Macaca mulatta: one gene and its partners. The protein of the gene in region 1 interacts with the protein of each later gene in a biochemical or structural test. Links are inferred from orthologs where the notes say so. Each region holds a gene or a part of one and is shown in the gene's direction. Other genes may lie near its edges.

Region 1 (3,500 bases):
AGTAGAGACAGGGTCTCTCCATGTTGGTCAGGCTGGTCTTGAATTCCCGACCTCAGGTGATCCGCCTGCTTCAGCCTCCCAAAGTGCTGGGATTACAAGTGTGAGCCACCTCACCTCGCCCCTCCTTTTTCTTGTTCCCATTCTTTCTGTCAGAGATCTTTCCACCTCGGCCAGAAGCCTTTCCCAGCTTCTGTATCTTACTTGTTTTTTTTGTTTTTTTTGTTTTTGCCTTGACCTTAGTGCTGGTTGGGACAGTGTGTCTGGGGTCCTCAAAACCACTCTCAAGCTCAATTCACCAAGAGAACTCATGGGACTTAGCATATAGTCGTGCTTGTGGCTACAATTTATTACAGCAAAAGGAAACAGACCAAAATCAGCAAAGGGAAAAGGCTGGTGGGGTGAAGTCTGGGGGAGCCAGGTACAAGTTTCTAGGAGTCTTCTCCCTGTGGGAGTTAAACAGGGCAGCCTTTATTTCCCCAGTAGCAACAGTAACTACAGAAATAACAGCAACAAAGTGTAACAAGATGTGAAATGTTGCCAACCAGGGAAGCTTGTTAGACTCAGCACCATCGTGAAATGTTGCCAATCAGGGAAGCTTGTTAGACTCAGCACCATCTCTTTTACTTGGGACTGGTCATGTAGGCGCCCCCTTCCTGGCACATACCAAAATTTCCAGACTCCCAGAAGGAAAGGTGTTCAGCATAAACTGTATTGTTTGCATGAACAGTTTAGGCACAGTGAACCACTGATATCAGGTAGGGAGTGGTGGGATTCTTCCCGAATTCCAAGTTCCCAGACTCCAGCCAAGGGTGGACCTTGGAAGCAGGCCTTTCCAAGGGTTGCAGTTTCAGTCTCCTAGGCTTACACTTCTCTGCCCATATGGAAACTGGGTTGGTTATGCAGGGATCTCTGAGAAGCCTTCTGTAGGGAACAATGTCATTTTTGCTTACCCAGGATTTATTCCCCCTTTCATTCATTTCATTTATTCACCAAATAGTTACTGAGGTACTGTTTTAGGTATTGGGGATATACCAAGGAATAAAACAAGATTTCTGAAAGGGGAGGGGAACGGACAGCAAACAATAGATACAATACGATCGTGAGGTATATAGTTAATGTCGGTGATGAGTGCTCCTCAAAGGAAACAACAAAAACCAGACAAGGGAAGTCAGGGTGTCAGGGAGAATGGTTTGTAGTATTGATGACAGTGGTTAAGGAAGGCCTGAGTTCTGCAGAGACCTCAAGGATATGAGGGACTAGAGCGCCTTCTGCTGCGGAAGAGCCCACGCAAAGATCCTGAGGTGGGAGGGTCAGGGAGCCAACTCATTTTACGGTAAGTGGAGGTGGGATCCAGGGGAGGATTCTGAGCAGAGGAGGGATGTGGCCCACCTTGGGCTTTGAAAGGATCCTGCTTGTCTGTGCGCTAGCATCCTGGTGCTGGTTGGGGGAGTCTACGTCAATCCTGGGTGCTATTACCTGAAAAAATAGTAGGTGTTAGATGAAAGAACAGATGTCTGGCCCATTGTCTCCAGTCTGTTCCTGTCCACAGCTTCCCTTTCCACTGATCCCCTGCCACATGCGTCATCATCCTGGCCATGTGGCATTGTCACAGACCGTCTCTCCTGCTAGCCACCTAACTCAGGGCCTGGGTCTTCCCCAGCATTAAGTAAATCCATCTCAGGCAGGCAACCCTTTATAGATGTTTGGGCCAGGTGTGGTGGCTCACGCCTGTAATCCCAGCTCTTCGTGGGGCCGAGGTCTTTGAGCTCAGGAGTTCAAGACCAGCCTGGGCAGCATGACAAAACCCTGTCTCTACCAAAAATACAAAAATTAGCCACGCATGGTGGTGCACACCTGTGGTCCCAGCTACTTGGGAGGCTGAAGTGGGAGGATGGCTGGAGCCTGGGAAGTTGAGGCTGCAGTGAGCTGTGATCATGCCACTGCACTCCAGCCTGTGTGATGGAGAGAGACCCTGTCTCAAAAAAAAAAAAAAGATGTTTGTTGGGTGAATGAACAGATAAGTGAGCTCTGTTCCCCCGTCCCCACCCTGGAACTGCACTTTCTTAACCCTTTAGAAGTTAAAGTCTGACACGGCCGCTGCAGCTGTGCGCCAGATGAATCCACATATCCGGGTGACAAGCCACCAGAACCGTGTGGGTCCTGACACAGAGCGCATCTATGATGACGATTTTTTCCAAAACCTAGATGGCGTGGCCAATGCCCTGGACAACGTGGATGCCCGTGAGTTTGGAGGCGGGTGAAGTGGTCAAGGGCAAAGTTGTGTGTGTTTCGGTGTGTATATACCAAGAGGGGTGTCTGTCTTCCTGTCCTCTCCTAATGTTCCTTTCCCGGCTGTCGCTTTGTCCTCCCCGCAGGCATGTACATGGACCGCCGCTGCGTCTACTACCGGAAGCCACTGCTGGAGTCAGGCACACTGGGCACCAAAGGCAACGTGCAGGTGGTGATCCCCTTCCTGACAGAGTCGTACAGTTCCAGCCAGGACCCACCTGAGAAGTCCATCCCCATCTGTACCCTGAAGAACTTCCCTAATGCCATCGAGCACACCCTGCAGGTGATAAGCTGTGGGAGAAGGGGAAGAGGCCGGGCATCTGGCCAGGCCGCTGCCTCTCTGCCCCCAGGCCCTTGCCTTGCCTTCAGATGTTGCATGCCTAAGTGTAAGATGTACCTTTTCTCCAAACCTCCCTCCCTCTCTTCCCACCAGGCAGCCTAGGTTTCTAGAATGACTCATTCTTTTTTCACTTTTACTTTGAATTTTTTTCAACACATAGAGAAATATTAAGAATATTATGATGAATACTCAAATACCATTCCTCACCTAAATTTAGCAATTCTTAATGTTTTGCCACATTTTCTTCTTAGATGTATATAGATTTTTCTTCTTTGTGCTTAAATGTGTCACGGACATAACAGCCTTTACTCCCCTACTATTTCAGTGCCTCTGCCAAGTGAGGATATGTTGCTATAGAACAGGGTTTCTTAGCTTCAGCACTACTGACATTTGGGGCTGGTTACTTCTTTGTTATGGGAGAGGGGATGCCCTGTGCACTGTAGGATGTTTCTCAGCATTCCTGACTTCTTATGTCAATAGCACTCCCCCTCCATCATGACATCTAAAATGTCTCCAGACATTGCCAGATGTCCCCAGGGGTGCCACATCACTCCCAATTGAGAACTACTTCTATCTAACAGAAACATCACTTTCATGCTCAACAAAATTAACAATCATTCTTACCATCTCTTCCAGTTATTTATTTGTCTCTAATAGTCCATATTCGGGTTTTCCCCAGCTGTTACTTAAAATGAGTTTAACAGCTGGTTTGTCAGGATGATTCTGTGTGTATGGTGCATGTACCTACAGAACAGTGCACATATTATCTAGCTCAGGGGTGTCCAATCATTTGGCTTCCCTGGGCCATATTGGAAGAATTATCTTGGGTCACACATAAAATATACTAACACTAACGATAGCTGATAAGCTG
Region 2 (3,255 bases), on another chromosome or scaffold:
TTCAAATTTTGTTCAGCTTTTTGGGTGTAGTCATTGTTTGCTAAGTATGTTGTTTAATTATCTTTAGGTACCTATTATGTTGCACTTCAGTTTTTAAGAGAGACTTACGATTTTAAATATTTTAAAGCTTTTAAGTATTTTAAAGCTTACTTTGAGGCAGTGTAGTACTACCAGCTAGCACAAGAGGTCAGCAAACAATTACCTATTCAGACTTGGAAATGTTAATATTTAAAAGATTTAAAATTGCTAAAGATAAAATTAGGAAGTACTGAACTTACCATCAGGGGACATAACATTTTAAATGAAATTGACACAGTCCCTGAGATGGTCAGTGAACACTTTCTAATCAAATTTATTAAACAAGTCTATCTTCTTGACAGCTTTAATTAAAACTGCTTTTATTCACCTTTTTAAAAACTACCTATCTGGGAGTTTTTTTTTCTTTCTTTCTAATTAGGGTCATTCAGTTGAGTATTTAGTAAAAAGTTTGTTTGCTTTTTAACTATTGTTTGACACTTCCTTGTTTTCCTTAGGTTACATTTCGGACAAGAATCTATCATTGTAATATTAACAGTCAAGGTGTTATTTGCTTGGACATATTGAAAGATAATTGGAGTCCAGCACTAACCATTTCTAAAGTCCTCCTTTCTATCTGCTCACTTCTTACAGACTGTAATCCTGGTAAGGTTAATAATTCTTTACCTTGTTTTATTCTTCCTCACCTGAAAAGTACTTGTTTCCAAAAGCTTTCAAAGGACAAAACTAATTTTTCTGCAAAACTTTATGAATATAAAAACTAATCTGCTTTTCAAAGAAAGTTTTAATCGAGAAGTTCAGTCTACTAGTTGAGACATACAACTTCATTAATCAGTATATTCTAGCAACAAGGTATTTTAAACTGAAGACGAAGTTTGCCTTGGGCTTTTACAGTTTCAGTTATTCTTCCCTCTATTTTTTTTTCCTGTTGCTTAATTTCCCATATAGTTCTTATAAAACAAATCATACACTTCTAAATGCCAAGTCATCTGCCTGGCAAGCCTCACCTTGCCTGTGGGGTTCAGTGGGCATGTGCCCATAGCTGGTCACTGAGATGGCACTCAGTTTTGAAAATGGTATTTGTTAAATACTTAGTGACTATTGAATTGTGACTTTTTTGGGACTTCATTTCATTTAAAAAATATTTTTCTGTAGTCCCAGCTACTAGGGTGGCTGAGGTGGCAGGATTGTTTGAACCCAGAAGGTCAAGGCTGCAGTGAGCCATGAGCATGCCGCTGCACAGAACTCCAGCCTGGGTGGCAAAGTGAGACCCTGTCTCAAAAAAAAAAAAAAAAAAATGTGTGTATATATATATAAATATATATATGTGTGTCTATACACACATATATTATTTATTTTATTTTCTAGGTAAACCAAATATAAATTTAGTTATTAAAGATCCTAAGATTCAGAGAAATACTATACTTAATTGGAGGTCCAGGTTTTGCCTGGCAACCTGGCTCTTTAACCAGTGTAAAGGTAAATAGTGTTGCATTGCAACAGCCCCGAAGACTTCACAGTATTCACAATGCCATAACTGGTGACACTGAGCTAAGGGTCACATCAACACAGTTGGATGTTCATTGTAGTCTGGAGCCTTGACCGTTCCAGTCTCCACTGAACTCAGCCTAACACATAAGAGTAAAGAAACTCCAATCGGGTGTTGTTTATTGGGAGAAAAATGGAATGAACTAAGATACAGACAGACCAGTAAACTAAAGCCTGAGCATTCCCTCTTCCTCCCATGTTACGATTTTTAAATTTTTGATGGAAAAATATCCGGCATAGTGGAGTGGTGTTTCGAAGATGGGTTTGATCACACATACTTGGTTGTACATGTCTGCCCAAGCTGTCACTAATGTATTTGCTAAAGTTTAAAATGTTCTTTTCCTTTCTCCAAAGTAATCTACATTCTTTTCTTCCAGCCGACCCCTTGGTGGGAAGTATTGCCACTCAGTATATGACCAACAGAGCAGAACATGACAGAATGGCCAGACAGTGGACCAAGAGATACGCTACATAAACTGGGTTTTCACAATTCTTACATTATTTGTCACAGAAGAGAGCTGCTTATGATTCTGAAGGGGTCAGGGAGGGTGGGAGTTGGTAAAGAGTAGGGTATTTCTATAACAGATATTATTCAGTCTTATTTCCTAAGATTTTGTTGTAACTTAAGGTATCTTGCTACAGTAGACAGAATTGGTAATAGCAACTTTTAAAATTGTCATTAGTTCTGCAATATTAGCTGAAATGTAGTACAGAAAAGAATGTACATTTAGACATTTGGGTTCAGTTGCTTGTAGTCTGTAAATTTAAAACAGCTTAATTTTGTACAGGTTACACATATGGCCATTTATGTAAAGTCCCTCTAAGACTACATACTTTTTGTTTAAAACAAAATTGGAATTTGTTTTCCCTTCTTGGAAGGGAACATTGATATTTAACAGAGTTTTTAGAGACTGTCATCTCATATATATAAAATGGACACGTGGCTGTAAGACACCATATAGGAGATGAGTAATGTGTTTTATTTTATATGCCAATCTACTTTGTTTAAAAAAGGTTTAAATCAGGACTTGTGAAAACCTGTAGTGAAATACCTTAAGCTGTTAACTGTAAGGCGTGGAATAGGAGTTGCTCAGTGGATTGGTTATATGTTGTGGACTACTTAAGTCTGCATTTGTTACTGTGCTAATAAACAATATTAAAAACCGCCTAATACTGCTGTGTTCATTTACTTTTATTTTGCCTTTTGGTTGCTGTTTGCAGATTCTTCTGAAATCGATAGGTATCTGCTTCTAAAACAAGCTAAAAATAATGCATATTTAGTAGGTATTATTTACCCATATTAGGATCTGTACTTTACACAGCTGTAGATGTTGAGGTATCCTAGACAAGGTTAAATAATCTACCCCATTTAGGCTTCAAAGACGAACCCTACTGCATTTTTTTTTAAAGCGTTTTCTGACTTGCAGATGCTGTAGTAGCAAGTACATGGGAAATGGGTTCTGTCAGGGATAAACTGGTACACTGCCGTAGGGGGCATTTTGGCAGTACCTAAGTATACACATGGCATGACCCAGCAGTGCTGTTTCTGTGTGTCTTTCATTACAGAATTTAAAAAGAATTGGTAACTCTGTCTGTACTAATATAGACTAAGTTGCATTAGCAGGAAACAAACTGGAAGGTACTTATTTAAAAATCATTATGAAAGCATTT
Region 3 (3,500 bases), on another chromosome or scaffold:
TGAGGGAAGGGCAGCGTTTGAAATAAACTTAGAGACATGATTCATTTTTCTAGAACTTGCTCAGACCCAGGGATATGTTCTGCTGTGATTTTGGCAGTGAAGAAGTCCTTTAAAGGAGGCTGTCCTTAAAGAAGTACTTCATCTTGTTAGGGTACTTAATTAATTGTCTTTGCTGGTAGGCTAAAACCCATGATGGTAAAGAAATTTAGTCATTGCTTCTGTATGAAGTTTGTTCATGAAAGCATGTCTCAGAGTAGGCTCTCCCTCATTGGGTCAATATAAAACTTTTGAGATACCAACGACAGGACAGTGGGGTAAAAGTAGTAGAAGTGTGTTAGGTAGACAAGGAAAAGCTGTCCTGAAATTGAAAATTTGCCGTAAAAAATCACAGAGTAGAAAATTCAGCCGGGTGTGGTGGCTCACACCTGTAATCCCCGCACTTTGGGAGGCCGAGGCGCGTGGATCACCTGAGGTCAGGAGTTTGAGACCAGCCTGGCCTGGCGAAACCCTGTCTCTACTAAAAATACAAAAATTAGCCAGGCATGGTGGCGCGTGCCTCTAGTCCCAGCTACTCGGGAGGCTGAGGCATGAGAATTGCTTGAATCTGGGAGGCAGAGGTTGCAGTGAGCCAAGATCACGCCACTGCACTCCAGCCTGGGTGACAGAGGGAGACTTTGTCTCAAAAAAAGAAAGAAAAGAAAATTCTTAGGTGTTCCTAGTTGACTGTATTAGCTTTATCAGCCTTGTTTTTTTTTCCCCTCTCTACCTAGAAAACAATGTTGGGCTGACTCACTGACTAAATAAATTTAATGAGAGTTGACACTGTTGTAAAGCTTCAGAGAGGGGTAGGTCTAGAGTTTCTGGGGAAGCAAAGCTGAAAAGAGAGAAGACTTAAGAGCAGCCCCCAGTGAAGCTACCATTAGGCATTACTCACTTGGGCTTTCCTCAGGTACCGCAGGGAAAGGGAAGTGGGCAATCAACTTGAACAAGCCAGTCCTGGCTTAGGTTGTGTTTGGCTTCCAGCTCCAGTGCCATCTCTTCAATTAATTGAGCTAAAAATAAATGTCATTAACATCCAAGCTGCCCACTCCCCCAATACTTGGTTGGGTTTATGAAAGAGAGGAGCAATTTTGGTATTCGATGTTTTCCATATATTATTTTCACACCTTCCACTGTCTGGAAGCACTCTCTTCCTGTCCTTAGGTAGAGTTATGTAGTCTTAAGAGAATTTGACAGTCCTTGGGGGTTTGATACAAAACTGGATCCCCAATAGCCCCACCACATGGCCTCTAACCAGATGACTTCAGTCACCTGTTTGCCTCTATGTTCAACTTCTCTCTCCCCTCACTAACTCCATCACCACCCATAAACGAGCTCTTTGAGATCCACAGAGATTAACATTTAGACAACTTTTGGAGCTGATTGCTTACCTAATTTCTTTTGTTTTGATTGTCATAACTGTTTCTAGTACAAAGAAAATCCCTTCAAAGTTACTAGCTTGCTTTTACCTATTCTTTTGCCCCCCTTGATATGAGGATTAGGCAATTGACTGATTTCTGCTGAAATCAGAACATGAGCATGAGACAGAGGCTGGGAAATTCCAGAGTATTAATAGTGAAAGAGAAACTTATGGTGAGTCACTTATGGTGGTATTGCCAGGCCCCAGGGTACTTGTTCCCTGTTCTTTCTCTGCCTCACCCTCCCTTCCTTCTGATGTGTTTACAGTACATGGACTGGACCTGCCTGGAGCCCAGCCCAGAGCATCTCCTCCGTGCTCATCTCTATCCAGTCCCTGATGACTGAGAACCCCTATCACAATGAGCCTGGCTTTGAACAGGTAAGGCCAGGTGAGCCTGGCTCTGGGGAGTAGACTAGTGTTTTTGGTTGGTTGGTTGGTTATGTTTTTTTTGTTTTGTTTTTTGTTTGTTTGTTTTTTCTGAGACAGAGTCTTGCTCTGTCACCTAGGCTGGAGTGCAGTGGTGCAATCTCGGCTCACTGCAAGCTCCACCTCCCGGGTTCAAGCCATTCTGTCTCAGCCTCCCAAATAGCTGGGAGTACAGGCGTGCACCACCACGCCTGGCTAGTTTTTGTATTTTTAGTAGAGACGGGGTTTTACCATATTGGCCAGGCTGGCCTCAAACTCCTACCCTGGTGATCTGCCTGCCTCGGCCTCCCAAAGTGCTGGGATTATAGATGTGAGCCACCATGCCCGGCCAGAATAGTGTTTTAAGAGATCTGCTTGGGAGGTTTTTTTGTTTTGTTTTGGACCTAGCACAACCCCATGTACTACAGTTGTTGCTACAGGAAAAAAAAGGGAATTGACATGTGTTTTTTAGTAATGAAATTTTTTGCCAGCTATGGTGGCTCACGCCTGTAATCCTAGCACTTTGGGAGGCTGAGGCAGGCAGATGGATCACCTGAGGTCAGCAGTTTGAGACCAGCCTGGCCAACCTGGTAAAACCTCATCTCTACTAAAAATTAACTGGTCAGAAGTTTGAGACCAGCCTGGCCAACATGGTGAAAACCTGTTTCTACTAAAAATACAATAAATTAGCTGGGCGTGGTCACTTGAACCCTGGAGGCAGAGGTTGCAGTGAGCTGAGATCACGCCATTGCACTCTAGCCTGGGCGACAAGCAAAACTCCGTCCTCCCTGCCCCCCAAAAATAATAATAATGAAATTTTTTATTTGTGAGAGTTACAATAAATATGTGGCTTGGATTCCTTTACAACATGGAAGTCAATGGACTCAATTGGAAATTAATTCTGAGCCTGCTTTGGGGGTTGTGGCATCTAGTGGGTTCTATGTGCCTGTATCCTCAGCATCCCCTGAAGTTGCTCTATAGGGACTACTGTTCAGCCAGCTGTTCTTCTGGAGTTATGAAGGACTGTTGCCTGCAGAGCCAAAGGTGTCATTAGGAGTCCTGGGAAAGACTTTTTGAGTTAACAGTGCCAATGAGAAGGTGGAGAAAACTCACATTTTTCCAAGAGCATGCTCTGTGCTGGACACTCCTGAGTTTTTTTTATGTAATTTCTTGTTTAACCTTCATACTATGTGAGGTTAAATATTGTTATTCCCATTTTCAAGTGAAATAATGTTGCCTCAGAGAGGTTAATTAACTTTCACAAGGACACAGTTCAAGATAGGACCCCAGACTTATATTGGAGCCCAAGTTCTCCCACTATTCTGATGTGCCTTCCTGAATTATGAGCACGGGAAAAAGTTCCAGTGATAGTCCCAAAAGAAAATGATTCCAGATAGGTGATTAGAACAGCTTAATTGATTGATGTATTTATTTTTTGAGACAGAGTTTTATTCTTGTTACCCAGGCTGGAGTGTAATGGTGCATTCTCGGCTCATAGCAACCTCTGCCTCCCAGGTTCAAGTGATTCTTCTGCCTCAGCCACCCGAGTAGCTGAGATTACAGGCACGCACCACCATGCCTGACTAATTTTTTGTATTTGTAGTAGAGAAGGGTTTTCACCATGTTGGCCAGGCTG
Region 4 (3,500 bases), on another chromosome or scaffold:
TGGGTACTCTGTGTGTGTTGCCGTACAGCAATGCCAGGAGAGTAACACATCCCGACTCCACGGAGAGAGAAGAATGGAAGCTCTGCGTTTGGACCCTCCTGATGTTAACTTATGCTGTTTCCCTGGGATAACCGGCAATCTTGAGCACACCCGCTTTCAGTGAGCTCTGGGAGTCCTAGGCAGTTACCGCATCTTGGGTGGTTTGGGGAACCCCAGTCTTGCAGTTGGTGTCAGAAGTGAGTGCATCTCGTGTGGACAGTGCCCTGTAATTTAGCAGTGCATTTTCAGTAGAATAGACATGTTTCTTGGGGGGTCTCTTACATGCCCATCTCTCTTTTGTCTTGTAGTGTTCCACTGGCAGGCCACCATCATGGGCCCGGTAGGTAGTAGCTGCTGAGCACACCACTCCAGTTTTGCTTCTTGCACTTTGGGCTTAGCACATGCACTGATCTCTTCCTGTGTCTCATCATTCCAGAATGACAGTCCTTACCAAGGAGGTGTTTTCTTCCTGACCATCCACTTTCCTACGGATTACCCGTTCAAGCCCCCAAAGGTGAGGTGCCCCTCACAACTCCCCTGATGTTTGAATGAAGGACAGCATGTGACGAGGGGCCCTTCAAGTCAGGTATAGGTAAAAAGAGCTGTACATGGGGCTTCTCTGAGGGCCCACCGCTCCACCCTGTGGTGACAGCCTCCCAGGACTTTAACCACTGGACTTTGGGAATTAGCACCTGTTGTGACCAAGGGTCAGTGGGGTGAGCTGGTGCTGGCCTCCTTACTGAGGCCACAGTTTGAATGCTTTTCCTTGTGACTGTAGCTGAGTCTGGTCATGTCTCCAGGCTCTGGCTCCCTTCTCTGCAGTCCCTTAGAGTTAGGACAGGGGTTCTCTGCTGGGGTGATTTTGCTATTGCCCCAGGGACATTTGGGCAACATCTTGGGATATTTTGGGTTATCAAAACTGTGGTGAGGGGGTACTGCTGGTATCTAGTGGGCAAAGGCCAGGGTATCCCAGGGATTCCCTACAGTGCCTAGAACAGCCTCCCTTCCCGTGACAGAGAATGATCAGCCCCAAGTGTCAATAGTGCCAAGGTGGACACACCCTGGTTTAGGACTGGTGAGTCACACCTTCACTTTCCTTTATTAAGTTAAAAGAATAGCAAACCTCCTTTGCCCTTTATGCACACACCATCCCATCAGTGGAGTTTTAGAGAGCAGTGCCACCAGAGGGAAGGAGAAGCCCAGGGAGCTGCCTCAACCACCCTGCCCTAGCATGTATTATGCACTGCAGGTCGTCTCATCCCCTGGACCCTTGCACCTCATACTCCTTCTTACCTGGGCTCTGCATGGGTAGCTGAGCCTGCTCTGAGGCTCACAGTCCTGTGGAGGAGGCAGGGCATTTAGCGTGTGAGCCAGTCAGCACTGTCAGCACTGGGGAGGAGCACAAGCAGTGGTTGGCAGCAGGAGCTGGGGTGGTGGGGAGATAGCCCTGAGAAGGGGGAACTGCAGAAGCTCAGCAAGGGGGCAGACGGGTCCCCAGGAAACTGCCCCAGGGGAGTGAGCGTGTGAGGAGTTGGGAAGGAGGCCAGAGAGGTACGGATGGCCCCAGGAGTAGGGTCTGCACGCCATTGTGGGGATTGCCACACCAAAACGATCACTCTGCTGCCTTGTGGAGGAGGCTGGGTTCAAGCGATTCTCCTGCCTCAGCCTCCTGAGTAGCTGGGACTACAGGTACTTGCCATCACACGTGGCTAATTTTTGTATTATTTTTAGTAGAGACAGGGTTTCACAATGTTGGCCAGGCTGGTCTCGAACTCCTGGCCTCTGGTGATCCACTTGCTTCCACCTCCCAAAGTGCTGGGATTCCAAGTGTGAGCCACCACGCCTGGCCAGGTTGTGCATTTTGGCAAGACTTACTCAAAAGTCCTGCATCTGCATCAGACACCTTAGCCGAGGGGTTGTGACATTGCTGTGTCTTACTACCTTGACTTGGCCTTGATGACTCAGTTTGAGTCAGAGGCTTAGCTGCTGTTTTGCGTGTTGTTTATCTGAGTCAGTGTGAAGAAGCCACTTCTGTGCTCGCCAGCTGCAGCTCTGTCCAGACATCACCACCAGAGGCTACGTGGTGCCTGAGCATTTTAAATCCTGGTTAAATATGCTTAGGATCCCAGAGACCTTTTAAACTTTTGGCAAGGGAGTGGGGTGTGCTGCGCAGGGCAATGACAGATGCTAAAATAGCTTTGCCACATTAGAGTACAACTGCTGTTCAAGGGGGTTTGGTTGAAAAATCATAAACATGCTTCACGGTGCTCTGATCCACCCCTTCTCCCTTACCCTCTGGAGAGACTGTGGCAGTGTCTATCAAGTAGTAATTTTCTAGCTTATCTCTTTCATTACTGTGTGAGCAGCTGAGGATTTTCCTTAAACAGATATGGATGTAGTCCTGAATGTCTGTTGGGCATTTTCAGGGTACCTAATTGCCCAAGGACAAAGGAGAAACAGTGATTATTATTATTTCTAAATTATTATTATTATTTTTTGAGACAGTTTTTCTCTTGTCACCCAGGATAGAGTGCAGTAGCATGATCTCGGCTCACTGCAAGCTCCTCCTCTCGGGTTCAAGTGATTCTCCTGCCTCAGCCTCCCAAGTAGCTGGGATTACAGGCACCCGCCACCATGCCTGGCTAATTTTTTGTGTTGTTAGTAGAGATGGGGTTTTGCCATGTTGGGCAGAATGGTCTTGAACTCCTGACCTCAGGTGATCCGTCCGCCTTGGTCTCTCAAAGTGCTGGGATTACAGGTGTGAGCCACTGCGCCCAGCCAACAGTGGTTATTATTAAAAGACTAAGAAGTAAGCTCTGTGGGTGAGTTGGGATTATTTTAGCAAGGAGAGATGTGAGCTAAAAGGTGACAGTGACATTCTATGAGGGAAGAAAGTGCTTCTGTCTTTCAAAAACCTCCTTCTACAGGGAACAGGAGCAACTGGATTTATGTTTTGGCACAAATTTTCTGACAATAGGAGGAATCTGGCAAGATTGCATGGTCTTTATTGGAGATATTGAGGCAGATACTTAATATCTGAGATGATTTTGAAGTTTGACCCTTTCTGGGAAAAATTATATGGTAATAGATATTCGAGCTCACATGCACATAACTCTCTTCTCATATTCCAAAGTAAGTTTAAAAAATATTAAAAACTATATCAAACATGCAAAAAATGGTAGATAATTATATAAAGGATGTTTGTGCATCTCCATCTAGCCTAAGAAGTACCAGTGAGTTCTCAGAGCTAGCGAAGGAGGCAAAATCCTTTTTTTTGTTTTTTTTCGAGATGGCGTCTTGCTCTGTGACGCAGGGTGGTGTGCAGTGGTGCAATCTCAGCTCACTGCAACCTCTGCCTCCCGGATTCAAGCTATTCTCCTGCCTCAGCTTCCCAAGTAGCTGGGATTACAGGCATGTGCCACCACACCTGGCTAATTTTTTTGTATTTTTAGGTAGAGATG

The links. The genes of interacting proteins can lie anywhere in the genome.
Region 2: of the proteins of UBA1 (region 1) and UBE2E1, one has a biochemical effect on the other in vitro, tested with the Homo sapiens proteins (9 studies listed by BioGRID, with this or other methods). The link is inferred for Macaca mulatta from reciprocal best matches to the Homo sapiens genes UBA1 and UBE2E1.
Region 3: of the proteins of UBA1 (region 1) and UBE2Z, one has a biochemical effect on the other in vitro, tested with the Homo sapiens proteins (3 studies listed by BioGRID). The link is inferred for Macaca mulatta from reciprocal best matches to the Homo sapiens genes UBA1 and UBE2Z.
Region 4: of the proteins of UBA1 (region 1) and UBE2D4, one has a biochemical effect on the other in vitro, tested with the Homo sapiens proteins (4 studies listed by BioGRID). The link is inferred for Macaca mulatta from reciprocal best matches to the Homo sapiens genes UBA1 and UBE2D4.

What each region holds. Positions count from the first base shown.
Region 1 is NC_133426.1:47,235,565-47,239,064, forward strand, and holds part of UBA1 (ubiquitin-like modifier-activating enzyme 1), read left to right. Parts: intron 1-2,075; coding exon 2,076-2,241; intron 2,242-2,375; coding exon 2,376-2,572; intron 2,573-3,500. UniProt on the Homo sapiens protein: Catalyzes the first step in ubiquitin conjugation to mark cellular proteins for degradation through the ubiquitin-proteasome system.
Region 2 is NC_133407.1:24,593,380-24,596,634, reverse strand, and holds the end of UBE2E1 (ubiquitin-conjugating enzyme E2 E1), read left to right. Parts: intron 1-533; coding exon 534-681; coding exon of another isoform or gene 682-800; exon of another isoform or gene 801-1,328; intron 1,329-1,961; coding exon 1,962-2,059; 3' UTR 2,060-2,755; downstream 2,756-3,255. UniProt on the Homo sapiens protein: Accepts ubiquitin from the E1 complex and catalyzes its covalent attachment to other proteins. Catalyzes the covalent attachment of ISG15 to other proteins. Mediates the selective degradation of short-lived and abnormal proteins.
Region 3 is NC_133421.1:61,089,798-61,093,297, reverse strand, and holds part of UBE2Z (ubiquitin-conjugating enzyme E2 Z), read left to right. Parts: intron 1-1,725; coding exon 1,726-1,837; intron 1,838-3,500. UniProt on the Homo sapiens protein: Catalyzes the covalent attachment of ubiquitin to other proteins. Specific substrate for UBA6, not charged with ubiquitin by UBE1. May be involved in apoptosis regulation.
Region 4 is NC_133408.1:84,416,822-84,420,321, reverse strand, and holds part of UBE2D4 (ubiquitin-conjugating enzyme E2 D4), read left to right. Parts: intron 1-28; exon of another isoform or gene 29-158; coding exon of another isoform or gene 159-159; intron 160-347; coding exon 348-379; intron 380-475; coding exon 476-553; intron 554-3,500. UniProt on the Homo sapiens protein: Accepts ubiquitin from the E1 complex and catalyzes its covalent attachment to other proteins. In vitro able to promote polyubiquitination using all 7 ubiquitin Lys residues, but may prefer 'Lys-11' and 'Lys-48'-linked polyubiquitination.